4 linked regions of the Lepisosteus oculatus genome follow. The protein of the gene in region 2 purifies or fractionates together with the protein of the main gene of each other region. This does not show direct contact. Links are inferred from orthologs where the notes say so. Each region holds a gene or a part of one and is shown on either strand. Other genes may lie near its edges. The genes, in order: nedd4l, arrestin domain-containing protein 1, hecw2a and nedd4a.

Region 1 (7,900 bases), on a different chromosome or scaffold from region 2:
TAACAAAAGGTATTTTGCCAGCTACAGTATTTGTAGGAGCAATATGAGCGCACAGATGCTAAGCTTCAGCTTTGTCAATAATTGTCCATCTCTAAGAAAAAATCATGAAATTAATTACCATTACGGGCGCCACCATGACACAGATGATATGCTGGATAGATTCTGCAATGTTATTAATGTACAGTGAATATTTGTTTAATAAAAAAGGTTAGTGTTTCAATATAGCAACTTAATAGTTTTAACTGTGTTATATGCAGCAGAAAAAATGGTCTTTTTAATCTAGAGATATGATACTGCAGGAGAACCACAGAAACACTGAGGTTCTTTCACATTTTTATTTCATTTCATTGTAACAGTGAATCCTATGGACAGTTAGGGCGAAGAGAGTGCTTGCACTTCACTAACATTTTCTCCATTAAGGATCCAATGACTTTGAATGATGCGGATTAAGGATTTTACAGAACTCTTATTTTTTAAGACTGATTAGCTGTTAATAGATTTAATACATGCATATAGAGCTATTATATGACTTACTAAAAAACGTGGTCATTTGTAATAGAGCGTAACTTCCTTCAGAAAGTAGTTTTTATCACAAAAAGATTACAGAGATACTGTAAAAATATGAAGATGGCCCCTTTAAAAGAAATGGCTTTTAAAAACAGTCTTGTCGGATGTAACGTAACCCTACAGCTCATACGCTAATGACCCTACCCGTAACAATTAATTAGACTAAGTCCAGCCAGGAAACTCTGGCAGTCTCAGAAAACAACAACAACAACAACAAAATAATTTAAAAAATAGAACCAGAGTGAAATGCAAAAGCAATACTTATTTGTTCATATACTTATCTAAATGCTTAAAAATTTCTATCTAGTAACCAATAAATCATGCATAACTATAAATATTGTTTGTTATAAGTCTCTGTTCATACAGGCCATGAAACTCACTTGTAAAAATAGACTGAAAAGGATGGATGAATGCTCATACACTCAAATACTGTACATACCTATGGATTTTACATTTTTCTTAAGTGAAAAAACATTTATGTACGTAAACGTTTAAAGTCCTCCGGGGGAGTAATAAAGGTCAGTCTGCCTTACTCACAGGCTTCTCTCCTAAAGCAATTTCTAGAATAAATCCACTCTCATTTCCAAGCTCTGAAAGCTGCTTCTTCTAACCCTTCGGTTTTTCATTTGCAAGGTATAGATAAACAGTGGATGCACTTTCCAGAAGAAGGTTGTTAGTTAATCTTAAAACCTACCCATTTTTCCTAATGAAATTCCTGCCAGCAGGAACAGCTGTTTCAACTTATATTTATCAGTATAAATGCAAACAATATAATCAGTACCAATAACAGTAAAATTAACAATACTAAATTATATACAGTAGTAGCACACAGCACAGCACATTACCTGGGAGCTAATCCTTGTTTGCCTATTTCCAGAGTTTATATCCTGTGGTGAACTCTGATTCTGCTCTTCTCCTCCTCGGGTAAAATAGATCTTAAACTGGGGCTGCCTGTTGTTTTGTTCCTGTCTGATTTTAAAGGTGCAACCTTGCAAAGCATCATCCACATTCCTACTCTGGCCCTCAGGGTCCTGGTTTCTTCCTGGAGTGTCCTGCCCATCTCCAGCACTACTCTGAAGTAGTGGGGTGACAGCTCTGGGCTGCACCGGTTGCGAGGTGCTCCTCTCCAGTCTTATTCGGGGATACCTCACCACCCGCTCTCCCTTGGTGCCCGTGAACCCCAGATCTGCCCCCTCTGTCCGCGAGCCCTTGGGGATGCCAGCTTGATTTGGCTGGAGCTGAACTATGAAACGTTGCTTGCCCAGGGTGCCATTAGAATCCTGGTGGACAGACCAGCGGCGGTGGGGACCATTCTGCCCCTGGGCTCCACAAGGCAGCATTTGAAACTCTGAGCCCCCAGTAGAATTCCTCTGAATGCAGAAACCACCAAAATTAATTCCACTGGGTAGATCTTCATTCATCACTCCTGGACTGCTGTGGCCATTTTGGCATTCTTCAGGCAACATACAAAACACCCTACGATTGCGTGAACTGGGATCACCAGACAGGTTCCCAAATGCTGGAGTCCATGGTGAAGCTTCATTGTTTCTGGGCATGTCTGTAGGCAAGGAATATTTCCTGTTGGGCTCCCTGTAGGCTGGAGCTGGGCCCAGGAAAGACTCGGGACTAGGAGTAGGAGACTCTTCTTCTTCTCCATTTCCAGGGATGCGCTGCAAGGAGATCTGCATTGATGAGCTTTTTGTGGGCCGAGGATCTATCGGGTTTGAAAGCTGAGGGATGAACATAGAGGAGCTACGTTTCAGGAAGGTTTCTCCGGACAAGGAGCTTTCAGGATCGGAGAAAAGAGGTAAGCCTCTCCTGCGAGGCAGTGTGTGGAATGTCATGGCAATGTCGTCTTCTGTTGCCCCCTCCAGCTCCTCCATCTCAGGGGCTGTGTTGCTACGCCCGGAGCCAAAGTAAAGCCTCAGTCGGTGGGCCATGTTGAGCCTCTCTCTCCCTTTGTCTGATTCAGTTTCTCTCTCTCTTCCCTCAGTGAAGGGAGCAAAGCAGAAGGAGTTCACGCCACAATAACAAGAGAGGCACTGCCAGGGAGTTAAAAACTCAAAGCTGCAAACTCCAGAGGAAAAAAAAAAAGTGTCCCATCTGCCAAACTGTTAGCACTGCAGGCTGATAGCGACAGATAGCAGAAATAGCCCAAGTGACAAGCAGCATTCCAGGCATGATTGGATAAGGGCACTCGGCGCTCCTACACACTGTGACATGGGGTAGGATGGCTGTGGTCACGTGATGCAGTTCCCCTCACCAATACTTGCCAGTACATCTCTGGTTTTAAACAGTCCCAGACTGAAACAGCACCTTCTCAGCTGCTCCTTATCCATCAGAAAGGAGAGGGCCCCAGTGGGAGAGAGAGCGCTCACAGCTGAGTAAGGCAACACAAATTCAACACAGCTATAAATCTTAAAACCACATCCTACAAGCAGGGGACGTTGGATGGGTTCTGGACCATGCTTTTCTGTGGTATCTGGGATTTAAACACCAGTAGAGTTCTAGTATTGTAAAATTGTACTAACTGTAACCATTTCTTCAATGTTTAAGAGAAAAAAAAAACATTTATATCACAATCTTGGAATTCAATTTAAGTTCACTTTTTGACATCAGTACAATTATCATTAGCTTAAAAACTATTCAAAACTAAAATATAGTATAAACCCAGATGTGAAACATAAATAAAATACAACTAATAATAAAGTGCCTTTAAAATACAAACATATTCCCTTTTACCATCAAAATGTACAGTTGAGGAAAGATATTTTCTTTTAACCAGCCATATATGTACAGCACTTTACAATATGTTGCTTTAATCTACAGGCAGAAATAAATGTGGCATATTGTACGAGACTGAAATGAATACATCTCAGTCAATTCTTTTATATGAAATAAAACAAAAAGAAACAAAATGAGTTTTCAAAAACATTTCTAATTTACACAGACTTTTTTTCTGAAAAAGGAAATGTGAAATCTGAGATGACCAGATCACAATCTGGTAACATATTTGCCAGAATTCATTGTAACAACAATATAGTATTACAACTATATTTTGTTTCTAAAAAAGTTATATTATTAAGTTTCACATTCTAGTAACAGGGAGTAGATGTATGGACTTGTACAGTCAACAATCAAAAAATACAGAGGGTGAGTGCCAATTTGGATTATAAAAATAAATGGGTCACAAACTCATAAACATTAATTACTTTCCAGAATTTTATAATGCATAGGCTTATACTGTAGGAGTGATTACTTTTCAAGAAATCATTAATGCTGCATTAGAAATTAAAAGGATTCCAATCTGGTCTTTTAAAGCTGACAATCATTAGGATAGCTTTTTTTTTAGTGCCAGTATATTAGCAGCTGAGATAGCCTGTTACCCTAGCGTATAAGACTTTCTTTGCAAAATACAATACAGTGAGTTGATGACAGCCTAACGTCTTATGGTGTGTCGTGAAGAACTCATAATGAAAGAATGCAGTTATTCATTCTAATGGGAGCTCTCAGAATGGATTGTTTAGAGAACGCGAAAGGTTGTTGCTAGCAAGTCAGCAGTTAGTTTATGGAATAAAAAGGAACATTGTGTAAGCAGTGCAACTGAATATGTTGTTTTGTGTTCATGTCAGTGCAGTTTAGAGCATATGAACATGCACCTGCACAAAGTTCAGGGATACAGGTGCTTGCAGCCTGCAGAAATAAAATCTTTTTGTCTTCATTTTAATGTGATTTTACTTACAGTACAAATTTGTTTATTACTCTTTTCCTTTTTTTACAAATAAGCAAGAAGCCTCATTTTCAAAGTTGTTAAAAAAGAGGGTGTAGCACCAGAACTAAAAAAATGTTAACCCAGTATTTGGTTTAACAGTGTGCTGGAGTATTCTAATCATTTTTCCTCTCATTGTCTGTGTGCCTGTAACTTACAGTAGTCACTGAGACATTAGGCGTCAATTTTGTGTGCAAAGCAAAGTAATTAGTTGTCATTAAACAATTATCCCATTTTCCGTTGTCTTCTTAATATATAAGGAATCTGGACAAAGAAGACAACAAATGGAAAGGATTCAACTGTTCAAAATTCTCAAAGGAAAAGACAAATTCAACCCAATGGAGGTTTACAGAATTGAAATGGAAACATGAACCTGTAGAAACAGATCAAAACTACAGGGAACAGGAGGCATTTTTTGTAGAAAAAGGTTTGTGGACCAAATCAGGAACATGCTACCCAGATACTTTATGTTACTGAAGTTAATACCTTGGCTTCTTTCAAGAGGATGAGATCTTTGGATCATTTATCTAGTAACAGAGCGAATGAGCTTAGGGAATGGCCTCTTATGTATAAACGTTCTTATTTTCTTATGTTCTGTCCATTTCTACAAATGCAATATATTTAATAATATAATTGAAGTCCAACAACCTTATGAATCTTTAATATTATAATTAAAATAAACTTTTTGGGATTTATCACATGACATACTGTAGCTGTTTAAGTTAACAAGTAACTGATTAATAATTTTTGGGCCATTTTAATTGAGGACAACTAATCAATCCCCAAATCCCACAATGGTATATCATAAAACAATATAATACAAGCATGAAGTGATTAACTTGTATTTATAAAAGGTAAGTTTTATAAGAATATATGCTGTGGTGTAAAATCAAGGCACTCCAAGATTCCTGATCCTAAATGTTTCTCTTGCCCGACTTCAGCATATCCCAGTGTGTTGACGATCGAGTCACAATCAATTATCAATCTGCACAACCAACTTCTATCAATAAAGAACGTGAAATGCATAAATCTATACAGACATCCTTTATAAAACTACTTTTTTCACTGTACAACATCTTTGATTTAAAATCACATAGGCATTAAAATCAGTTTCCACATATTTCTGTAGAGAATAGCCAGTGTTTTGGCAACCATACAGTCTTTCATCCTGTAACTTGAGGATACAACAACAAAGAGACGAGAATGTTTTTTCTAATGGTCAATTTGGGTGAAATACCTATTTCAAATATACTTTCCTGTTTATTAAACAGTCCTAGTGTTTGAAGACTACCTGAAACCTCGCATGTCTTAGGATAAGGAATTACACTAGCAGAGGCTTTTGTAAGCTTTATTTTTAGAGTGTGCTAGAATAGGTTATCACGTACACATATTTATCCTGACAAGCTTTGCAAGACTTAAGGAATAATATGTTGGGTAATTAAAAAGAGGTTGAAATGCTTATATTATCTTTTAATTAACAGAACTTTCCTCTGTTTTTTTAGGTTTCCAAAATGGAAGGCGTTAAATCAAACTTGACACAGGTTGGATGGCGAAAGAAACTAAACACTACTTCTAAACAGCTTTAACTCCATCCTGGCACCAGGAGAATAGAAGGCAACTGTCTCACTAGCTTTCAGATCATTAACACCAGATCAGGGCCGTTGTGTAATAATGGAGCCAATCTCGAACATACAAGGCCTTTCTCATGACACTCATCAAACTACATTGTAAACTATAAAATCTGAAATTTACATAAAAAAACATAAATAAGCGAGGCAGCTATACAGTATTCCAATGAAGTGAAAATGAAAGTTACCATGAAAAAAAAGCTAGAAAAAATTAGAAACAGCTTTTGTCTAATAGCTAGTTTAAAATTCACATCTCTTCTGTGTTATCACATCAGTCTGTCCCTTCAACAACATTTTTTAAGGAATGAGTCAAAATTGCAGTACAAATTAAATAGAAAAGATCTGCAAAGTTAATACATGAAAAGGGAACTCTGCAAAGGAAAAAACAAGGTAATTGTGTGTAGGATACCATGCAAACCCTTCCGTATCAAGAGGAAAAGAAACTATTTACAACAACCAACCTAAACATTAATGTATCAATTAGTCATTATCAAAACACATAACGCATTTAAGGAAGATAAAAATAATAAATGTCAAGAAAGCTTGTGTGGTGTTATTGGGCTTTTTCCTGAAATAGTATTTTAGAAGGTGAATTGTGAGGTTACTTACTAGAAATAATTGCTCTATTAACGAATTGAAAAAAAAAATCAATCAGAATATTAAGAAAATATGAATGATTATAGGATAACAGGTTATTATTTACAGTGATACCAACTTGCATCTTGGTACACTATTTGAAAATTAACATGAAATGAAGATTCTAATGGTAACATCACTAATATGTTTAACATTAAGATGATACTTCAGAAAGTGTAAAATAAAAGCAATTAGCTTAAACATTTGATGTAAATAAAATAAAATATAAATAAAATCACACAAAATTGAGAAAAAAACTGATTTATAAAGTACTGCTAATAAAGACCTCAGGCAAAATTAAAATATATTGTTTTTCTCAGCCTTTAAAATTTAATTAGCCCCCTTTTGACAAGCTCCCCTTTTGTTACTTTATTTTTTTTAATGACTTCTAAATAAGTTCTAAATAAGCTTACAGTTGTCCAGATTATTTTGCTAAACCAGCAGGTACATTACATTTATGATAAAAAAGTACTTATATATCTCAGAAACATGGCACCTACAATATTGATATACTGTAGGCCCTGCTTCCATTTTGTCTCAATGAGGAAATAGTTTTATTCTTCTTTTTCCATCCATCTTTTAACCGCTTCAGCCAATACAGGCTTGCAGGATGGGCCGGAGTTTATCCTGGCATGCAAAGGGCGCAAGGCAGAATACTGTACATCCTGGACTCACACACAATCACAATTGGGCCAGTTTTCCCAGAAGAAGCCAATTAACCTACAGTACAAGTGTGTCTTTGCACTGTGGGAGGAAACCGGAGCACCTGGCAAAAGCCCATGCGAACACAGGGAGAACACACTGTACAAGCTCACGCAGATAGCACCAGGTCCGGATCTGAACCAGCACCCAAGATCTGCCCTAGAAAAACATTTATGAACCAATAAAATATTCTACCATCTCTATGGCAATTGCAGCAATATTTCTTGTCATTTGAGCTCAGGGAAGTGATAATGGGGTGGACTGCAATACATATACTGCAGTAAATAAAACATTTATTGCTGTCATCACTGTAGAATTGTACAGTAGGTGAAAATACTGCCCGTGATCTTCATGCAGTTCTACACAAACTTTTATATGCAAAACAAAACTTACCAGCCTGTTTTCATCAAACACCTCGAAGAGGAGCCTGTGGTTGTGCGGGCTAACCTGTAGCATTAGAGAGAATAAATACATTATTGCAGTTTTATGGTCTCCACACATTTTTTAAATTTCATTCATTATCTCATAATGACCTTGATTTCTTCTCACCAAAGGTCTTTTTAATGTAATGTGTAAGATGACGATTTAGTGGAAAATA
Region 2 (7,274 bases):
GCCGGTACGTACCGGGACATTCAAAAAATACAACTTTAAAAAAAAAACACAGCCAAGCAAATTCAGCAGACACGTCTCTGCCAGGCCGACTCCAGCTGGCACGAACAGGAACGGAAAAGGAAGTGAAACAGCAACCAAAGGCCTCCCCGAGATTCTCGGATCTATTTTTCATGCCAACCTTTCCGTTCCGGGGCAGGAACGCTCAGGCGACGCCCCCGGCCGCGGGCAGGGCCAGGGCAGACGCCGCAGGGGACAAGACGGGCTGCCAGGCAGCAGGTCAGGTCGTACTATTTGGTCCTGCGGAGATTTAGAAACTCGGGCATCTGAGGCTTTTGGCAGCTTCCCTGAGGCTCAGGAAAATGCCAGGACATCGTACTGCCTTTTCACGCCACTAATCCACATAATTCTGGTTTCATAACACCCCCCACCACCACCTCCCACCAAAAAAGGTTTAAAAGAAGGTTCTTCTAAGAGCCTGTTCAGTCCAGGAGCAGCACCAATGCTGACGCTGAGCTCTGGTCATGATAAACGTCCCAGATCCACAGAGCATCTGGCCTTGAGCTGCTGGACATGAAATTACAGCCCCGGCGATGTGGTTCGCAGATGGCCACACAGGGCCAGGTCCTGCCCAGCTCGAACCGACACTAAAACAGCGCCGGGAACCTAAAACAGCTCCAAACTCACTCATAGACAACACGCACAGCACTGAACTTCAAGCAGGACTTTTGCAGATATTAATCCAGCTCATCTCAGCAGAATCACCTCATGACAGAACGCCCCCTCCCCCCGCCCCCATGAATAATCAGGGGTGCCCCAGTAAAGTTAGGAGTCACGCAGCCCACCATGTTGGCAGGACTCTCTCTGCACCCCAATGAAAAGCTCTTGTCTGAGGCTGAAAAGTCTGAGCCCTACAGTCCAGACCTCTCCAGTTCTCAGCTGGACTACGTCTGAGCTCAAAGAGTACAGGAGCACACCTGACCAGGCTTCACTGGGCCTGGGTGGACTTAAATCTGGGAGAGCATCTCCCTTGTAGCAGCAACCACTAGGCCCAGAGCTGGGTCCTGCCCATAATCGAAGCGGTCTCTGTTGGTGAGGCTCATGCTCTTGCTGAGATGTGGACTCAGGCTGGGCAGGTGTCAGATGATAGTGGGCACCATCTTCATACCCAGAGCTACAGCGAGAAAGTCAAGGTCATCGACCAAATACAGGGGTACAAAATATGGAAAAATGGAAATTCAAAACCTTTTTTTTTAGGAAAGAAAATCTACCTGCAGAAAAGTACTGTTAAGCCTGTGAATAAAATGCAATATCTATGCAGACGCTTTTAAGCAAAAATTCGTTCATAGGCATATCTGGACATAAGCAGAGGAGCTCTGTTGAGATCTGGCCTTAAAAAAAAAAAATAGAATGGAAACTTCATATCCTCTGCTCTGCCTAGAGTCTGGGCGCTGAGTCATGGTTTTGTCAGAAGCCTGCAACACAATGGGGACAAAACCATGTATCACCTGCATGGCATCCTGAGCCCTGAGGCCCAGTCTATCTCACCTTACAGGTTCCACAACCCCTCCATCCCCATCCCAGCAAAACAATCTGGCAGTGTGCCCCACGTGGAAAATTTGCACTCATCTCTCCTGTTGCCCAACCCACCTGGAGAAGGGCAGGCGTGGTCCACAGCTCTCTTTAAAACACACGTCCATGAGCTCATAACGAGGGAGTGTTGTGTTATTGTGGGAGAAATGTGCCAAAGGAGGGGTAAACGCCAACTGAATGGCGTCGATCGACATGATGCACTTTCAACTAGTAAGAAAATAGAAGCGATACACACAGGACGTGTTGCGAAATCCCCTTTCATCAACATAGGTGTTTTTCCAGAGAGCATGACGCGGCACAGTGACGTCACTAGCCAGCAGGAAAGAGTTGGCCAATTCCACAGACAGCGAAACGAACGAGGAAGAATTCACGGTGCTCGTATACTTCTGACGACAAGAGCCAGGCGTTCCTTTTCTAGGTACGCTGTCCTGTGGACAGGTACAAAGACGCACACCTGTTGGAGGTGACAGAGAGCGCTGCCCTGCGCGTCCAGGCGCTTCGAGATACGCGCTACAATGAACTCGATTATAGTCCTTCTAGCATTAGACAGCGTCATAAGTAGAGGGGCAGTAGCGTCAGAACAAGCTCTCAACCCGGCTTGGGAAGTCGGAAGAGCCGAGCGAAGTGAATATTTTCCTGCCCCCCAGGAACAGCCACGCAACTCGCCCAGAGCAGGAGGGAACTCCGTCCGGCTACCTGCGAGTCTCCGGGGGCTCCGGCGGTTGTCGCTTTAGAAACAGGCGGTTCCAAAAGTTGATTACTGCTCTCCTAATCACGCCTGTCCTTGCTGGTTTCGCGGTAATGAAAGACATAAGCTACCCAAATCCTCCCCCCCACACACACACAGACACACAACTCTCTCCTCGGACCTGTCAGCTGTGTGGATAAATAGTTACGAGCGACTTTCCCCCCACGATGTCCTGTACAGCACCTCCGCCAACAAAGAGGTTACTTCGTTTCCAAAGCGGCGCCGCTCAGACACGGCGTGCCAAGACACACAGCGCTGAGGGGGGGGGGAGGACAGAAGGCAGGGTCCGACCCCGGCCCCTCGTCTACAGTTTGGCGAGGACGGGGGCGGCTGCTCACCTTTGTAAGCCAGCGGGCCGCTCACGGCGATTTTCACGGTGCCCGTGAGCGACTCGCCGGGGCTGTAGACCACTTTGCCGTCGGCGAAGGCGATGTCGAACTCCTGCAGCTTGCCCATGTCGGCGGCGGAGCCCGTCTCTCCCTCCTTCTGCCTCAGTCGTCCGCGGGCAGCTTGGCCGTGCTCCTCAGAGGCGCCGCACACGGCTGCGCTGTCCCACCTGCTGCTGCTGCTGCCGCTACTACTGCCCCTCTCCTCTCTCTCTCTCTCCCTCACTCCCCCTCCCTCTGCGGGGCGGCGCCGACGTCACAGTGGGCCCGGCTATTCCCTCGCCCCTGTGGCTCCGGATCCCGGCCGCCGGACCGGCGGACCGCAACACCTTCCCGGCTCGCACCGCCCTCGCCGTCACGTGTGGCCTGCAGTCCGCACGTCATGAGGGCGCTGCTTTTCGGCCCTGGAAGTGTCAGTTATCCGCTCCCCGGGCTGGGAGACTCTTGTCTTCGAGATTATTTTCTTCCAGCGTGTCCTGTCCTGTTTTTTTTTTTTTTGGCTCTCTTTGTTTTGTTTTTTTTTCCCAGCCCTGTCTTGCGTCTCAGAGACAAGCGCGGAGTTCGCCAGAGGCGATTTCAAAAAAAAGTTTTAAAAGCCCCCCCTCCCCGAGACGCGCCGAGATGCGAGTCCAGCGGGCAGCTTCAGGTCCAGACCAGCCCGGTCACGGGGATCGGGAAATGAAGGAAAGGGGGAGAGTGCAGGCTGGACTCGGAACTCAGGACGGGAGACTCTTCGTTACACAAAGAGTTGTGGGTGTCCAGAACAAGCTGGCCAGCTGTGCTGTTGAGGCCGGCTGACAAGCCCTGACCCCAGTGAGGCGACACGATGTGTATATATATACACTAACTCGTCCCAGGATGGAAGAGGCATTTAAGAATGGAATCATGGTTCGAAGCCATTCCGCCCATTTAGCCCAGATTTTTTAAAAAATAAAATAATAGTCGTTATGTGAAAAACGACTTTGGCAAATGTTAAGTTGTAAAGAGGGCTGGAAAACTCAAGTTCGTCTTGGCTAGAACCCCCATCCCTCCCCCTGAGCATCAGCGATGTAGTTTTTATACACTACTGGAGTCTCTCAGTCTCACACTTAGGAAGAGCAGAGCAGAGAGAGGGAGATGCCGGTTGCCATGACAACAGCCTCTTGGCTGCTGCACTGCTGCTACAAGTCCATGGTAATGGTCTGGTGGCTCCGAAGTTGGGGGGGGGGGGTCCACAAGGCTGTAGAAGTCCGAGGAGAGACCCGTCTCTGGTCACACAGCAAGGGTCAGGAGCACAACAGGGCACAGTTCTCTAGCTCAATGGTCCAGACTGGGAGAGCCTGTAAGATTGTAAGATGACCAACACACACACACACACACTGAAGTGAATTCCTTCCCCGTTGCCCAGACTGCGTTTCACCGCGGGCGCAGACCCCAGTGGAGCAGGCTAGGGATCTCTGTGGAACTGGGACGACGATGGAATTAGATTGCGTATTTTACATTTACACTAGCCGTGTAAAACCGCTGGCTGTGAATTTCTCTTCCTTGCAATGTGGTTTAGGAATAAATCGGCCCCTTCGGGGTAGACAGGAAGTGCTGGACCCCCCGCCCTTACACACACACACACCCCTCTGATTGCGGTTTCCTGTGACCCAGTAGCTCACACTACGCCCCTGATCCCTGGGGACCCCTGTGTCTACTGAGCTCCAGCTCTCCGGTACCTCTCGATGACTTCGCCGATCTGGAACTCAGTCCCAACTTTGAAAACCACCTCACCTCAAGCATGAAATCCACTGCCTTCAGCGCAAGGAACGGTCACCATCTCTCCTCAGCCCCTTCACCCTGATTCCTGTCCACACGCCTCTTAACAGAGTCCAGCTGCTGATCTTTCAGACAGCACACCTGCATGGGGGCAGGTTCAAACCTCAGAAACTGTTAAACGGGTACACATCCCGTTTAAATATTTGCCCCAAATAGAAGATAGAAATCAATCGGGCAGAGATTAGGACCCTGAAGATACAAGAGATCCCAGAACCAGGGTTTGCGGACACGTCCAGTCCTGGTCCTGGAGGGCTGATATAGCTGTGGGTTTACATTTTAAAATTCTCTCTACCAACCTACAGCTCGTTATTGGCTTAGTTGGGAACAACTTGTCCCCTCTGTTAAGGTGCAATACCTTAAAAAGATCTAGAAAACCTGCAGTCAGACTGGCCCTCCAGCTCCAGACGGCCCTTTGTCTACCCTGATGCACTGCAGTGGACAAGTGTGCAGGTAGTGAAAAAGAAGTGGTGTATGTTTCCCTCTTGTGGTAAAAAGTCAGAGTGCATGCTTGTAGATTTCACAAGAGCCAGGTATCAAGACAGGTGGTCAAACCCGTCGCCTACAGCACAACAACAGATGAGCGTACACTGTTCAGACATATTCACCCTGAGGCGTCAGCTGGTTTAAGGAGGCCACTGGGCTTGTCGTGTGCTGTTAGGTAGTGGTCAGAAGCTCTGATTGGATCTGGGTTTGGACCTGGATGTCAGGATGGAGGGAGAGTCTTTGGGGAACAAAGGAGAACTGCTCACTCTCTCGTCACTTGTACGTCACGAGGCAGGTCAGAGCGAGCGTCGTGATTCATGGCTAGGTTTTCAAACTACTACAGTTTGACAAACTGCCACTTGATGGGGCCTACCCCTCACCAGGTATCTGTTTCTCAGAACAATGAGCATCATTACCAATGAGCTCTTTCCCACAGCGTGAATAATCAAGCAGCACAGTGGAGACAGCACTATTGCGTTTATTTCACACATACTCCCAAAGACAAAGCCGGGAGATCAGACCCGTAAAATTAACATCACACCTTCATTAAAAACCATACAAAAAGTGACACATTAAAATAATACAACTCAAAGTTTCATTTTGTCGTTCCTTAAGTTGAATGAGCTGAGAGTGAATTGCTTCCACCTGCTGCACAGTGATATTTTTCCTAAAGATTCACCTGAATTAATTGAGCGCATAAAAAAAAAAACTCTATCTGAACAAGGACAATGAGCTACTAACTACCATATGGGCTACATGGGAAGGACTGCCCCTCCCACCACCTTGTTTGCTGGTATCACCACTTTTGAAGGCGACGCATTTAAATTTTAAAATTTTGATTAATTCCCCGACAACGCTACACCGCTGAAAAATCAGACTCCAACTCATCCAACAGAGCTGGAAAAACCTACGGCTTCATTTATCCCACTGAATAAATACTCTATTAACTCTAAGTTTACAACAGTCTTCCGAGATAAAAGTACAGCATTATCATGCTTAAGACTCCTAAAAAAATAGATATATTGTCGGCTTTCTAAAGTGCTGTAAGCCATTACCTGCAAGACAGCTGTTCCGTTGTGCAAGATCACACCCTGGAGCAGGGAAAAATCATGGATAGCCGTCACTGTCCTCTGGAATGCCCCTCCCTCCTCCCTGGAAATCAGACCCCCCGTGCACAGCAGTCTGAGCCACTTCACGTTTTACCCACGGCACCTGGCAGCAGGTGGGATGATCCCGCAGGGAGGCGGATCCGGATCCCCACGGCGCTCGGCAACCAGGGAGGTGGGGGATCGGGATCCGCCTCCACACTTGCACGAAGAAGCCTGGGGTGGCCCCAAGCCTGTAGTGGCCCCCGAGGGCCAGAAACGCAGATATGAAATCGGGGGGGAGGGGAAACAGGCAGAGCGAACGGTAGAGGAGGCGGCCGTCGAGGGGTCTTCCGGGCTCGTTGGGGGTGCCCAGCAGGGCCCGGCCCGGCGAAACGAGCTCGCGTCCAGTACAGCGTGGATATTGCATGGAATGCCTTACAGGGGTAGGGTGGATTTTTATTTTCTTTTTTAAGAAGTGCTCGCTCCTCAAACACACCCCCGCCCTCGAAGGCGTTTCCCCGTCAGCGGAATATTTCCGACGCCTGCCCGCTCCAGTGCCTCGGCCCGCCCGCTGCCAGCGCGGCGCAGAGCAGACCAGGCTGCTGGGCACCGGGGGGGGGGGGGCAGGGGGGGTACGGTCCACCTCCCACACCCGGCGCAGCTCAGGCGCTGCCCTCGCCCGCCTCGTCCAGCACGCAGGTGCGCACGATGGCCTCCGTCACGGGGTAGGGGTCGCAGTTGGCGGCGGGCCTGCGGTCCTCGAAGTAGCCGCGCCCGTCCTGCCCCACCTGGCGCGGGATGCGGATGCTGGCGCCCCGGTTGGCCACGCCGGCGGAGAACTCGTGGAGGCTGGAGGTCTCGTGGCGGCCGGTCAGCCGGCGCTCGTTGTCCTTGCCGCCCCGCGGGTCGTAGAGGCGGATGTGGTGGGCGTGGCGCCTGCCCAGCTTCTCGATGGCCTCCTCGATGTGCCTGGGGGGGGTCAGAGAGGGGGGAAGCTCAAGGGCACCGCTGGCAGCTGGAGAGAACCGAGCCAGCGGGGGGAAATGCCATTAACACTGGATCAGAGCCGATGTGGGGGAAATCTGACGACATTCCAATATTCCCACAGATATGGGGGATAACAAGCGCTTAAAAATGAGGATTTTTTTTGCAAACGGCTGACTGCAGCTGGAAGAGAAG
Region 3 (7,330 bases), on a different chromosome or scaffold from region 2:
GCAACAAAATCTTCTAGTTTTTGGACGCTGACATCTCGGAGGGGAATATGGCCAATTGGGTGAGATCTTAGAAAACTTTTAACTATCCCATAAATTGCAATATCTCAAGAAACTGTGAAAAACATTATCGTGTTTAAGTAAAGAATGTGATTTGCACCAGAAAAAAAAGAAATTGTTGCTATGTAACTGGTACCGTGTCAAAATGTAATGAGATGTGATCATATATACTGTTTTAAGTATGTATATTAATGTAAAGCTTTCTAATTTGTGATGTCCTGTATTTTTTTTTGTGAAAAGAAAATAAAGTTCTTAAAAATAAAAAAAAAACAATCGATACTGTTGGGTTTTGTTTTTGTGAAAATACTTGATTTCACTATAAACTTCTCACAATAAGCACACCTGAAGAAGGCTCCATGGCCGAAACGTTGTGCTTTTTTCTCTTTTTTTTTCAGAGTGGAATAAACCTATTAGTTGTTCCTTTACAGCCTACGCATGCTGACGCAGCTACCCACCTGAAATCTCACAATAAGTATGCACTCATATAGACTTGCAACACTATTACAACTGTTGTAACAAAAGGTGATTGTCTTTTATCAATCATTAAATTAGAGGAAGTAAATGCTTGTTAAACTCTTGTTAATCTGTTTGCAAAGTATCACCTCTGTGTCTTGTTTATGAAAACAAGATTCTTTGGTCGCTATGGTTCCACCATCTTGCCACCAGAGGGCACCCCCAACCTCTAGGAGCTACTCTTGCTGTACAGCAGAGGAACAGACCAAGCAGATGTCTTTTGCCACTCCCTCATTGTCTAGTGTCACTAGCTCTCCCTACTTTCCTTCATCAGGCCTATTTAAATCCTGCTCTCTAACCACATTGTGTATAGTGTTGTTTGCTGTAAATATTCTCATTTTTTACTATTTCCCTTATTTTAATAGCTTTCTCCTAATCCTGCTTGCTTTCCTTGTTAGCCTAATTCTTGTTTTTTGTTCCTGGGATTTGTTTCCTTCTTTTTTTTTTGCATCTTGGTTTTTCCCTGTTGGTTGTTCTATGTTCCTGGTTACCTACCTGGTTTTGGACTTTGGTCTGTTTGTAGACTTCATTAGTTGATTGTGTTTTATGGTTGTCTTCCTGGAATGCTTTCCTGGTTCTGGACTTTTGTGTGTTTGTAGGCTATGGGTGCAGATTGTGGTTTTTTGTCCTCATCATGATTTCTTTGACAGTTGGAACCTGCATAGAATCCATTCCTTGAATATCTGTGCCATCAGACAGCCCATTCAGAGGTGAATACAATGCAGAAACCAGCCCCCTTGTGCCAGGTCAATAGTGTTCAAGAAAGAAAATATAGGAATGGAAAAAATGATGAGAGAGAACCCAGAGACCCTTATTGCTGGCTGCTACCAGGCAAACAACTGTGAAAACTACCTTTTTTTTTTACTGGGCGGAGCAGTGGTTCTGTGGCTATCTTCTGCAGCTGGCAGAGGAATCCTACTCCGTTGGGCCTCTGAGGAAGGCCCTTATCCCAAACTGCTCCAAGGGCGCTGTATTATGGCTGACCCTGTGCTCTGACCTCAAGCTTCTCTCCCTGTCTGTGTCTCGTGGAGAGCAAGGTGGGGTATGCGGAATGACAAACTCCTAATGCAAGAAATTATATAGGGCTAATAAAGTGATGTTATGTTACTGAGCACCAAAAAGCCTGGCACACAGATATATGCAAGATATAATCAAATATCACCAAAAGAGGCATCAGCAGAGGTAGGCAGCAGGAACTGATTCTGGCGAGATTCACAAAGTGGTGACTACCACTTTATTAAAAAAATAAAGTATCACATTCAAAAATGAATACAAGATCTGAAATCACCACATCCAGATGCAAATGATAGAGTTTGCAGGACAACAAAAACCTGCAGTCCTCAATAGCCTTGCAGAGCCGAGCTGCAGCTCACAGAAAGGAAAGTAAAAATTCTCAAACAACAGCTTAGGAATCTGAATATTTCTTACTGCAGCCCTAAAAACAACAGAACAGCCCTGAGGCTCAGGATGCAACATAATTACACAAACCTCCACACACACTGACAACCCTGTTATCTGCACAGCAAACTCTAACACCCCAAACACTCTCACTGCACACCTGTCTCTTTTTTGCCTAAACACAGTGCGATTAACACACACCACCGGCCCCACAGATGGCCTCACCCAACACCCCCACCTTATTTTCACACATTCCCACACAAACTTCTGCTTGGCAGTATAGTGCACCTCAGGCACTCCAGAACCAGTGACTCTGAGGTAGCCATTCCCATTGACTGCAGTGGGAAATACATCAGTGAACACAGGCATTTCCCAGGACTCAAAACAGCAAAGGTATGGTGTCCAATGAAAGAAAAGGCACCTCGGCTTCCTTCCAGATCAACCCTATGGACACCAAGGCACATCATCTTCCATGGTACCAACAATCTAAAGACCCAAAGACAGCAGGCGGTTCGGTCCATCAGTCCTTCTCATCAGAATAGAGATCTCCACCCTGCTGCCAAGAAAAGACATGCAACACCACACAATCTAGAAAACGTACTCCCAGCTTTCATGGTACTGCTTCCAAACATCTGCAGCACAAGCCTCAGCATCCCACCATGTGACCCCAGTACCTAAAAGACCACAAACACCTCAAAAAGCAATCGGAATGTTTACAAAGGAGAGCACAATCGGCAGGGACCTAACCAACTCCTCAAAGAGGACACATAGCCAGAAATAAAATTATAAAGAAACGTTTTACAAATCAAAGAAAGGTTGTGAAAATTCAGGGGTACCGTGGAACCTGTTAAACACATGGTCTGAACATCATTGGTGCTGTGGTGGAAAAGCTATTGACTGTGAAAGATCCCCTGCCTCTCCCAGAATATTGCAAGTACAATATTTAAATACTTAAATATTTAAGTGCCATATTTTTTAAAAAAAATCATTAACAAATGAAAGGAAAGTTTCATAATTAGAAGAAAGGTTATGAAATTTCAAGGGTAATGTGGACCCTAATAAACACTTGGTTTGGACATTGTGGCTCTAGGTAAAAAGGTATTGACTGTGGAACAACCTCCACCTAACCCAGAATATTGCATGTAGACTAAAGTCATATTAAAAAAATCCGTAAGGTCCACAGAAAGTATTTCATACTTTCCGTGGACTCTGTAAAACACTTGGGTTGAACTTCATCGGTGCTCTTAAAAAAAGCTACCAAGTACAGCACATCTTTCCTTCTTTCAAACTTATAGCATATGTACAGTAACTGCAATACTAAAGGCCCTTTGAAATGAAAACAGAAAATGAAAACTAATTAAAGAAAATCGAATCCAACACACACACAAGATGCATTATTGTAACCTATTTTGAATTTTGGTATTCTGCTTTATATGGTCATATGCAGGTACTTCGCATATTCTCGCGTTATGAACTCATGTATATTGCACCTAAAAACGAAGGTTTCTAAATAATGCAGTGTAAATACAATTCCTGAAAAAATAAACATCAGTGGTTTGAAAGTTCTGCATGTTTTCCTCTCAAAGTTATTAATATTTGAAAAAGTGTGTATCAAAAATAAATAGGCATATAAATGCTCAAGTGAAGGATGTAAAAAAAATCCCAAATCACACACAACAAAATACAAGAAGTTTGACATCTCTAGGTGGTTTCCTTGAGACATTATTGAGGTATTAAAAGATGTAAATCGAGCTTATATTGTATATAGAACTTCAAGCTGGTTTTATGGTGGTAAATTATGTAACATAGAAATTCACATACTGTACCTCAATTCCTAGTTACACTGCTTTTCATCCGTCATTAAAATTGTAATATTGGAATTGTAATTCCAAACAACGCAAAGGATGAAATGCTGAACAAGGGTTTAAATCGGAGAGTGCAAATCGGAGAATATCTGCGATCGGGTTGAGCCTGTGTTCTGTGCGTGGGATCCGGAGATGTGGACAATGCGATAGTTTTAATTTGCAGGTTAAGATATGAAGTGCTGCATTAGAAATTCTGAAATGGGTATTATAATCATCCTGCTGCTTTAAAAAAAAACAATGGTTGTCGTTAACGACAGCGACTGTAAAAACGTTTTTTTTCGCATTCTTTAAAAAAATAATGAATTTAACAGACGTGTATAATACAATGACAAACTAGGAATGCTCTTCTCGTAGAGTGAAATGGTGATAGTTAAAAGGTAACAGAGGACCTTAATATACGGTTCTCTTTCACCTGACCGAATGTGTGTACAATACTGTATTTTTGTTTGTATACGTTCCGTAGAAATCGGTTCGCTCTCAGTTTTATGCACAGAAATCCTCCCCGCTCTCTCCTGCGGGATGGTTCAAACCCCTCTTCAGTGTGCGTTTTCTTCCTGGTTTGCTCTTTGCCTGGCGCTGTAGAAATCCAAGATGAAGGGAAAGTGGTGCTTCTGTATCCAACAAAATTAAAAACTGAATGATAACTCAACATGTTGGTATTTCACTGGGTTTGTAAAAAATAGGGGGTACCCCAGTTATCACTCCTTTACCCGTTTTGCTTTATTTTTTTCCGTTTATATTTCAGCACATATTTTCTGAAGGAGAAAGAGAATAGAAGGTGTAGTTAACGGATAGTTATGCCTGTGCATTTTGGGGATGAGGCGAAGGAATGCGTTTGTGATTGCAGGGAGCTACAGTATGCAGTGGGTGCTGTTGCTTCTGCGGCGGAAATAGGCGCCCTGGCGGATGCGAGGTGAGGTCTTTAAAAAAATACATAAGAAATGAGATTTCTCCATGAGACGACTGGCCGCTGCCCATCCACTCGAGGAACACGGGAAAACATCACCACTGCCGATTTCGGGGCGTCTCTGATTCCTCACTGCCCCTCGGACTCCTCAAACATCTGAGCAAGCCCGCACGAGCAGAGGAGAGGGGCAGGCACGGGGATGCAGTAAGAGCCGCCTCTGGCGCACGCCAAGTCCTGGATGAGGTCCGGGGCCCATCCCTACAACGCTGTAACTGGATATACAAAAAAAATACATGATTTTTCTAAGCATCTTTATGGTTTGAATACATTTTTTTAAATGGAATTGCTGGCTCCCTTTCTTTCTTGCCTCCCCTCTTTTGTATTCCTTTCTTCCCGGGGTAAGTAAGGTAGTGGAAAAGTGTATGCTTACGTAATGCGCGGCTTAGATTGTTTTTGCTTATTTTACAACCAGGCGTGCGGAATATGTATATATACACCAATAATAATAATAATAATATCTGATGTATGATAAGATTTGAATTTGGCTTGTGTTATTTTCAAAACCTTCGATCAAAGTGGGCTACGTGTGGTCTTGCGGTATTATATGCTGATTCTTTGTATTATTAATATAAATAGATATCGAGGGAATTCCCAGAACAGACTCTCCGTTCCAGAAAGCTGTGTTTTTATTCAGTAACGCTAGGGAGAGGGCTGAGGCTGTAGTATTAATGATGATACAGGCATATGCGAGTGACAGTAAGGAAGACAGGTAAAAATGTACAATAGAAATACACGAAGGAATGCATAAAACTTACTAGTACTGTACTGAATGGCTTGGGGCTTGTGTTGAATTACCTGTGTTGCACTATGATAATTACTGTATTTTTTGCATTTTTTACTTCATAACGGTACCACGCAGAAAAACCCTAAACCGTGGAACTTGTTGATGTTATGCAATTTGTTGCAGAGCAAATTGTCAATTACACTACCATAGTTTATCACGTTTTTTATAGTTTCTGTATGCTTCATTAGAATGGCGATTAGTTGTTTTTCCACCTCGTCGAGACCGCATGCCAACTGAACCAAACAACGGAAGCAAAATCATACAAATATACAATAACTGTTAATTTAATAGTGTTGTATTTGTTCACTAATTTTATTAGCCTGTCCATAAACTAGTTTTCTCCTCCATTAGAGCTTTTTTTTTAAAGATAAAAGCCACTAGCTAGCTGTTTGCGAATTTTAAGAACCTAGCCGATAAACCCAGTACAGTATTACAACCATGACGTGTAGCAGAGACAAAGCTACCAACTCCTGAAAGCCGTTTCAGGACTGCAGTATCACAGTGACATTATTTATTCCAAGGGGACGGAGTCAGCTAATTCGCTTTATTAAATTACCTTGCGATTCAGTCCAATTTCAGTGCTCGTGACGTTTGATTGGGCTGTCAGCGGGTTTTTTTTTTCCAGTAGACTAATATCCACTGTCCAGCACTCTGCGCTTCCTATGCACACCTATCCTGTATGATCCGTCACCTCTCACCTCGGATATATCCATACTGTACGTATTTCGATTCCGATCTATACAATGTACATATGATCGTATTTATGATTCGCTTCTTCATGCAGTGCGACATTTCAGTCTGTCAAAAGCTTTAAGAATTTTTATTTTCACCATGTGCACCCGAGATCCAAATAGGGGTAGTTAATAATAACATGGTTTTGCCATTATTTTTCGAAACAACCTCCTGGCAAAACTGACACACTTTGTGAAGCCCAGAAACGCTCTCCACGACCCCTGGGACCTTGCCTGTTAGGGCCCACCTGGCAGGCGACGTGTTACAAATCATATGATCACTTCAGGTCACGTGAGATGTTCCGAAATTTCGTATTGGGTTAAATCCAGATTGAAGGCTGTTTTTACGGATTGCTGAAAGAACAGTGTGATAGTTTAAAGTGGTCGGGAGTGACTCCCAAGGGTCAGTGAGAAGTCTCTCCAGGCGTCTGTCTATAAAGTGGCTAAAGCCTTCTTGTGTAGCTATGATGAGTGTGTATTGAGTTCATCACTGCTGTCCCACGCTGAGCTGACTGTGTGCTGAATCCTCATTTTCATACCCTGGGGAGCAGACAGGTAAGCCGGCTATGAGAGTCTTTATAGTAGAGTTCAGTGAGGGAATTTAGCTTGACTGCTGTTAGAATTCCAATCAAATATGTATGGTGTAAACCTTCTGCCGACTATGTGGAGAACAACTAACAGAGTCTTCACGGTAAATAGTGATATGGAAAGTGGAACATCTTAATTTGGAAAGGCACTAAAGGATGCTGTTTAAAGTATGTATCTGGGGGTCTCTTTTAGTATAACATTATGTGTGGGTGTGCAGCAGTTTACTGGCCATTCACTCACAGTTCAGTGAGCACCCTGAATGGGATCATGTGATCTCTAGGTGGTAGGCTGTCATCCTGTATTAGATTATGTGATCCCTAGGTATCAGAGGCTGTCTGGTGTCCTGGAATCTTAAGGCTTTAGGGTTTCATCCTGCACCTTCAGGTTATCCTGTAGCCACTCTTTCTGTTGTGAATCATGTGAAATC
Region 4 (7,726 bases), on a different chromosome or scaffold from region 2:
TTTACAAAAGGCAACTTTAGTGTTTTGTCATTTATGAACCAAATTCTTTGCAAACTGCAGTACAAGAGGTTAATCACAGACATAAAAAGTGGCTACGGTTTCTGTTCCCGAAGGATACGCCACTGACACACACCTGAAGGTAGCTCACAGACGGTCTGTGTATTGCAGAGTTAGCTGGCAGTCTTTGTTCTAACAATGAAATCAAATGCAGAACCGCAAACAGCAACCGAGGTAAGAGCACAGTACAAAAGCTACCAACTTGTTCTCCTATCACTTCAGCAGGTTTCGGAAATTTTTAGGGGATGTGGTTTTTAAACTGCAGTAACTTAAGAATGAAATGTTTCTTTTCCAAGTCAAAATGACACATTAACACTGACATTGTGGCAGAACCAAAAGACGGACTCAATCACCATAAACCTTTATCAACAGTTTCCTCACCATCTTGTAACCATCTGTTGTTCTCGGTTTTCTTCTCATGAGTGATCAGTAAAAATCTGGTGCACATAATCGGTGCACGGCAGGCACTCTACTGTATTTGCTGCATGAATGTTAGCTAAAAGAGCAGAGGTGTTTAATACTATTCTGAAACTATAATGTGTATTTATTTTTTGGTTGATGTTTTTTTCCCACAGTTGTGAAACAGTTTTATGGGCAACTGTTTCACAAAGGTATCTAAAACACAACTTCCCATTTATGATACCAGACTGTGCTGAAAGATTACATGTAAACTTTGTCTCGTGACAAAAGGGAACTGAACCTCGAGACCTTTTTACTCTTCTGTACAGACCAGGAACATGAACAAAGCAGCTTACCTTGTCCCTTTTGCCAGGGCTGCCTGTATCATTGTCAGCCTTTGAGTTTCTGTTTATTTCCTTCAGGGAACCACAGACCCTTCCTTCAGCCCCAGGAGACAAATGAATGTGTACATGAGGGGGTCCCGTCTTCGAATTATGTCTCCTGGGATTGGAAACATGGCATGAAATATGTTGATATGGCACCTCAAGGGAAAGGCTCCTCTGCAGAGCATGATGACGACCTTGGTTTCCTTCCTTTTTGTCTTCTGCCCTAAAGCCAACTTGGTAGTCAGGACTCCTCTGCAATGGGAGATATGCCGATGTGCTTCGGACGAGTTTAATGTGGCGGCACAGCGGTTCAGTTTCGAGTCCCGGCCCTTGAACAGCTTGCTCAGAAGTGCTGTGCTGCCCCTGTGTCATTGTCCTCACGCTCTCCTGGGCAACTGCCCGTTGCCGAGAGAAATGCAACAAAATGCTCGCGTGTCGTTCTGATCGGTCACAAACAGCTGTACAGTCCTGACCAATGTCAGTTTCCCTGGGTTTATCTGGCACTGGTGTGTTGAGATGCAGTGGCCTTATGTCCCTGAGTTCCACAGTGGGACAGCTGCTTTTAGACAACCGCAAGCCACTGAGCGCTGTTGCGATGGAGCCTTTGGATGCAATCTGATCGTCCTCTTGTGCAGACTCGCCGGCAGTCAGTGAGAACTGGTGGGAGGTTTGGTATGGACCACGCATCGGTGCAGGCCCAGGGCTAACTGGAGAGGCTGGCGGCGTGTTACAGGGGCTCCGTGGGAAAATGACTAAGGAGGAGCAGCGCCTCAGCGGTACCTTGGCCTTTCGTCTCGTGAAAGTCCTTTCAGGCCCTGCTGGGCGTTCAGGGATGTCAGGTTCGAAAAATGTACTGCTACCACTGCAGTACCCCGCATCGCTAGTTGTGCTGCTGCTGCAGGAACCTCCATCTATGCTTGGGCTCGCACATGACGCAGAATCCCCACTGCTTGTGCTGCTTTCATTTGCGCCAGAGCTGAAAGAGGTGCCTTCATTCCTGGTACCAGTCAGACAAGATCCAAACTCACCTTCATTACAGGAAGCATGATCAGCAGCGGGATAGTGAGGAATAGCACCTGTGTCATCGCTGACAAGTTTGCTGTTTGAACAAGTTCTTCCATCACCTGAAGCACGAATAAAACAGCCATCATGAACAGCCGCAGGGCTGATGCAACTTTCCAGCTCTCCGTTCAGTTTGCGAGGCTGCAGGGAAATTTGCAAAGAAGTGCTCTTTTTGCTGTTGTTTACCTTAGGTATAAAGACAGATGAGCAGCGCTGTAAATTTCCAAACTCTGGTGACAAGGGAGGCAAAGCCAGCTGCCCTGGAGTTACCTTCATTTGAATCGAACTCTGCCCTCTGCTCTCTGAAGGGCTCCGGGAGGACACGCTGAAGTTTTTCTCCACGCCATTGCTGCAGGTCTCCGATAAAGGGTCAGTGTTGCTCCTTCTGGTTGCAAAATGCAAGCGAAGCCGCTGTGCCATTTGTCTTACTTTCTAATCCTGTAAGCGAGTGGAAGGCATAGCAAAACCCACTTGAAAAGAAGCAAAGCAACTGCTTCGGATCCTGTTCTGTGATTACAATCATTAGTAGCTGTACATAGCCGAAATAGCTCCAGTGACAACTTACATTCCTCTCGTGGCTGTACTGAAGTTATTAGCCAGGGAGGTCAGATGAACTCTGAAGTGTAAGCACAACCAAACGAATAGCTCCTGAGACTGCACAAATCCTAATGGTCTGTATCTTTAAGGAGCCAAGGTACATTCAGTCACAGAGAACAGCATTGTAGCAACTTTAAAGGCAGAGCTCAGCTGCTGTACTGAACCCAAGCCAAAACCTCGCTTCAATTATACCTTCTCCAATTTGCACGAACGAATCCAGCCCAAAAAAAACAATCTTCTAGCATTTCACATTCAAGCGCCACAGTACTTCTCTCTTCTGCTCCAGGCCAGCCGAGCCTTTAGAACTGCTTTAAGCAGCAATGTGTCTGAAGTTTCTTTGCTGCGCCGTAACACCACTAATATTTTTACCCGTTGGGATAGAATTACAGGAAATCAGGAAGAATGAGGTCCAGCATAATTCAGTATCAAACCAAGGATTGAATTCCCAAATACTATCCATACTAGAAAACCACTGGGATTGTGCAAATATGCAGGAAGCTACTGGTAGTTATTACTAACTGCAAATGAACTACGCTTGTAAAATGATGTCTGTTTTCCTGTGAAGCCCTTTGATGAAGAGATAAAGCACTGGAAGTAGCGATGTTTACACTAAGCATTCTCCAATGAGTTACCCCAGCTATGAAACTTGTTTTGCTGAAAATCATCCATTTCACTGCCCTAATAAAGCCCAAAATAAAACTAAATAAAGTTTTCAGTATGAAGGCGAATATTCAAAACCTTAAAAAAGAATTTATTATTTTTACAGAATATCTTAGGAAAACATTCACCACATCTACTGACATCTGAAACCCTTTCTACTGTCTATCTACTTATGCTACTGTAGATCCTTATATTTCTTTTGTCTGAGCTACATAACTGGGAATCATATTTAAACCCTACAGAGAGGAAGCAACACTTCCTGACACAAATTGACACGGCACTCAACACTGATGTACCCATTAGCACCTCTAAAAGACTCAGCCGATGGAAATATCCCATAACGGAACCCTATTTGATAATCCTTAGCCATTTCACTTAAAGGCAACGTCAAGACTGCTCACCCCCTTATTATGCGGTGAGCCCTGGAAGATTCTCAGTAGGGTGTTCTTAAATATCCGTAATTCCACAACTGGCAAACCACCTGCCCGCTTTAAGTATTAATCAAAGCCGACACCAAATGTTGGAGCTGGGAAACTGAAGAGCTTGCCATGTTCTCACCGGACTCACCACCACTTGGTTTTTACTCTTGAGAATGGTTCCAAATCTCTCACAGCCTATACAACTTTCTTTAAATCCGGGGTGTCCAAACACACTAATAACATCTGAGGAGACCCAAACTCCATCTATAAATTTTTCCTCCACGTACACTTTCAACATCTGTTCATTATTCAAGGCTGCAGAGCATTTGTGAATTAAATCAAGTATATTCCCCTTACAGATTTTTTCCTTGCATATTTGCAAAAAAGTTTCTTGCCATATTAAACAATAGGACTGACAAAGAGGGAAAAAAAGAACAGTATTATTATTAACTCTTAGTGAGAAAGGTTCCTTAGCTAATAAGAAACAGAACGCCATCTTCCTATGTGGGAGTTTATTTAACCTTTATGGTAATTTAGTACAGTGGCCAGTAACATAAAAAAAAACATTTCATGTTCATACTTTACTGCTTTTAATGTGCTGACAACACATTCATTTACACTTTTAATAACACCCCCGAGCATATTCCATTTCCCTTACCTGCATTTTGTAGCAATAAAATGCAATAAAAGGTATACTGGGTCATTCATTGCAAGTTAACACACCAAATAGCTGAGATATTTATAGGCATAGCCCATGGGTTCACAAGAAAAAAAAAGATATACTTCTAAACCTTATATTTTTCATTTAGGTTTTGATTAATTCACAACCGATGAGAACTCCATGCTACTATATACAAAGAGACATTTATCCAAAACTTAGTATTTGAAACTGCTTCTAGATGTTACAAAAACACACCCTTGTTGTAAAATCAAGCCTGAGAAATACACCAAGTCAAAGAAAATGTTATTTTTAGCATACTCAAAATCCTGAAATATTTTTGTAATGATTAGCACACTCCACTACGTAGTTATTGGCTTAGAAATCTGACAGTATTACTAAATGATTTTTCATATTAAAAAAGATGATACAATAACTACAGTCAATTATCCAGCCAGATTATCTAATTCGTCGCATAGCACTCTAATGTGTGAAAGATGTCAGTTTTTCTGAAAAGTCCAGCACGTGTAATTGTTCTCAAATAATTATTCTCAAACTCCTAACAAAAATAAAATGCAGGAAGAACTACACAATTTTCTATCCGCAGTCACAGCAACAAATACATGAATACAAATATATAAAAAATGAAGAGTTATAGTGGGCTTTGTGAATGCAAAACATGACTATGTTTACAATAAACTTACCAAACGGTTTTCATCAAACACTTCAAAGAGCAAGCGGTGCTTTCGGGGATGAACCTGAAAGAAAGAGATTGGTATTTACATGCTGTACACAAGTAGTGAATAGCAAATGTATGTATTTAATCAGCCATCCATTTTCAAACCAGTTCATCCAATTCAGGGCTGCAGGCCTATCCCAGCAAGGAATGAGCACAAGGACGGATGCCAGTCCATCACATGGCACACACAGAAACAAACACATACTCACACCAGGGCCAATTGTGTCTTTGCACTGTGGGAGGAAACCCGAGCACTTGGAGGAAACTCAAGTGAACGCAGAGAGAACACACAAATTCGAGGCAGACAGCACCCCAGGTCCAGAACTGAACCCAGGGCCCAGCAGTGCGAGGTAGGAATGCTAACCACAATGCCTTTGTGCCACCCGTACTGAATCATATCTTTGTTTTTCACATAAAGTAGAATTTAATACATTTCAACCAAATATCAGGTAGACAATAACACAATAAAGAAACAGTATGAAGTGAGACATACTCTATGTTCATTTGCTACCGTTTTTGTCTAATACACACAGAGAGTAACATGAACTCTTTTTCTCATCCACTTCACATTTTCCTTTCTCTCTAAGAAATTCTATTATCAGAATTCCTGTTTTGTAGTGGACACTATGCAAAATTAAAAAAAAAAACATTAGCATTTCATGTTATTTTGTCTAGACTTTGTCTAGACGCATGTGAAAATAAATATTACACTGGCAGAAAGAAAGACAGCACTGTAATGAAATATTAGGCCTACACCCCTTTGGTGGACATTTTTAACATTTATCTGACAACAAACAAAACAAAAGAAACCTTTCAAGTTAATTTCCAAACCAGTACATTTATCTGTAAGCACTGGAAAGGCAGGAGACCATTTCAATCCATTCAGTACCCAAAACAAGACAAATGCATCCCAAAAGTCCACAAATTCAGTGTTCTGCCTAAAGAAAGGCTGAAGCCTCTCAGGTGGCTATTGTGGAATTATATCATTATTTAGGATGTGGGGGGAGGAAAGACCCTGAAGTTGGCTTTACACTGATTAAAGAGTAAATAAAGAGTTTACAAGCAGCTCAACATGTTGATGTTCATTAAGCATCTTCAGGGTTACTTTCTCTGTCCACCATGAGGTATGGCTCCTCTTTCTCTTACTTTCCCACAGACCTCCAATCCAGAAAAAAGTTTGGCCACTAAATTTTGGTAATTTCTCAACTGGGTGATCCGGTTTTCTCACTGCTAACAGCTACTGTGCACTGAGGAAATGGAAGTCATGTCATGGCATTTGCCGAACCACTTTATACCTTACAGTGTTGCAGAAAGCTGGAGCCTGCCTGGCAAGCAACGAGCGCAAGGCAGGGTACACCCTGGACGGGACGCCAGTCCATCGCAGGGCAGGGGCAACCCAATCATACATGGGGACAATTTGGGGGGAAATTTGGCCTGAACACTAGGATAACTCTCTACTCTTATCGGGAAATGCCCAGGGATCTTTAATGACCACAGAGTCAGGACCTCAGTTTAACATCTCATCTGAAAGACAGCACCCACTACAGTATAGTGTCCCCACTACTATACCGGGGCATTAGGACTCACACAGACCACAGGAAGGGTGCCTTCCCTCCTGGGAAGACCAGACTGACCACGCTCAACCCTGCTTAACTTCAGTGGGTAGCCAGTTGAGAGCTGCAGGGTGATATGGTTGCTGGCCAAGAAATGGAAGTATTCTGAATAATTTAATTTACTTGGCTGACAATTTTATTCAAAGCCTTGTACATTTGCACAGGGTTGGAATTTTACTGAAGCTAGGACCCCGCTCAAGGGTACAACAGCAGTGCCCCAGCTAGGATTTGGACCCACAACCTTCCAGTTAGGAATCAAGAGTCCTACTCACTCCTCTTCACTGACACTACAAGACACAGAGTAGCTCTCAGGCAGCTAAATCTATAATTACCACACTGGCATTATTTCATGTCTTTAAAACTGTACGATTTAATGCGTAACCCTAAACCTTTGACCAGATGCAAATCTGAACTCTAACAAGCACACCAAAATAGCTGACTGCTTAATGGGGACATAAAAATGTTGAATTTCACACCTGTTAATCTCTTACAGTTATACTACCATTATTAAAAATTTAAAGAGAACACACTCTGGAATCAGATCCTTTTATCAGCAGCTTGCTGTGCATTTTAGTGTTTCCCATACCCAAAAGGAAGGAAAAAAATAAACAGATGTTTATCTTGTTGTAAAGCTAAAAATAAATAACTATAAGAAAATAAAAGGGGTTACGGAATAGACAAAACCACTTTGAAGCTATAACCGATTCGATGATCTCATTCAGCATTTCTTGAAAGAAGCCAGAGTACCGACTTCAACCAGCCATGCATGGCTGGATAGTATGTTCCAGACCCCAACAACCCTTTGTATAAAGACCTCCTGTTCTCAGTTTTATATACAGTTTACACTTGTGCCCTCTGGTTTGTGTTTAGCTTCCAGCTCTGAGGAAGGCCCTAACACAGTTTTCATTTTTTTATGAAAACTGTGTTAGGGCCTTCAAGAATTTTGAATGTTAGAATTTTCAGTGTTACTTCTTTGCCTTTTTTTCTCTGTCCATGCGGAACATTTCTTTATTGATTCAAGAGTAACCAAAACTGTACACAATAATACAAATGCAGTCTTATTAGTGTACTGTACAATTTTAACTTCAGATTTAAGTATATATTCTTGTGACATGATTTTTTTTCTAGATCTAGAA

What was found.
Region 1: the proteins of arrestin domain-containing protein 1 (region 2) and nedd4l purify together in Homo sapiens (affinity purification with mass spectrometry; 3 studies listed by BioGRID and IntAct, counting the BioPlex papers as one, with this or other methods). This does not show direct contact. The link is inferred for Lepisosteus oculatus from reciprocal best matches to the Homo sapiens genes ARRDC1 and NEDD4L.
Region 3: the proteins of arrestin domain-containing protein 1 (region 2) and hecw2a purify together in Homo sapiens (affinity purification with mass spectrometry; 3 studies listed by BioGRID and IntAct, counting the BioPlex papers as one, with this or other methods). This does not show direct contact. The link is inferred for Lepisosteus oculatus from reciprocal best matches to the Homo sapiens genes ARRDC1 and HECW2.
Region 4: the proteins of arrestin domain-containing protein 1 (region 2) and nedd4a purify together in Homo sapiens (affinity purification with mass spectrometry; 3 studies listed by BioGRID and IntAct, counting the BioPlex papers as one, with this or other methods). This does not show direct contact. The link is inferred for Lepisosteus oculatus from reciprocal best matches to the Homo sapiens genes ARRDC1 and NEDD4.

The regions. Positions count from the first base shown.
Region 1 is NC_090698.1:20,486,266-20,494,165, forward strand, and holds the start of nedd4l (E3 ubiquitin-protein ligase NEDD4-like), read right to left. Parts: upstream 3,036-7,900; 5' UTR 2,508-3,035; coding exon 1,413-2,507; intron 1-1,412. UniProt on the Homo sapiens protein: E3 ubiquitin-protein ligase that mediates the polyubiquitination of lysine and cysteine residues on target proteins and is thereby implicated in the regulation of various signaling pathways including autophagy, innate immunity or DNA repair.
Region 2 is NC_090719.1:1,903,753-1,911,026, forward strand, and holds the start of arrestin domain-containing protein 1, read right to left. Parts: upstream 3,208-7,274; 5' UTR 2,795-3,207; coding exon 2,677-2,794; intron 1-2,676. Other genes in the region: glutamine synthetase-like, read right to left, coding at 6,758-7,064. UniProt on the Homo sapiens protein: Functions as an adapter recruiting ubiquitin-protein ligases to their specific substrates. Through an ubiquitination-dependent mechanism plays for instance a role in the incorporation of SLC11A2 into extracellular vesicles.
Region 3 is NC_090707.1:11,052,891-11,060,220, reverse strand, and holds the start of hecw2a (E3 ubiquitin-protein ligase HECW2), read left to right. Parts: upstream 1-4,176; 5' UTR 4,177-4,746; exon of another isoform or gene 4,747-5,138; intron 5,139-6,154; exon of another isoform or gene 6,155-6,870; intron 6,871-7,330. UniProt on the Homo sapiens protein: E3 ubiquitin-protein ligase that mediates ubiquitination of TP73. Acts to stabilize TP73 and enhance activation of transcription by TP73. Involved in the regulation of mitotic metaphase/anaphase transition.
Region 4 is NC_090700.1:45,803,643-45,811,368, forward strand, and holds the start of nedd4a (E3 ubiquitin-protein ligase NEDD4), read right to left. Parts: upstream 3,141-7,726; 5' UTR 2,325-3,140; coding exon 813-2,324; intron 1-812. UniProt on the Homo sapiens protein: E3 ubiquitin-protein ligase which accepts ubiquitin from an E2 ubiquitin-conjugating enzyme in the form of a thioester and then directly transfers the ubiquitin to targeted substrates. Specifically ubiquitinates 'Lys-63' in target proteins.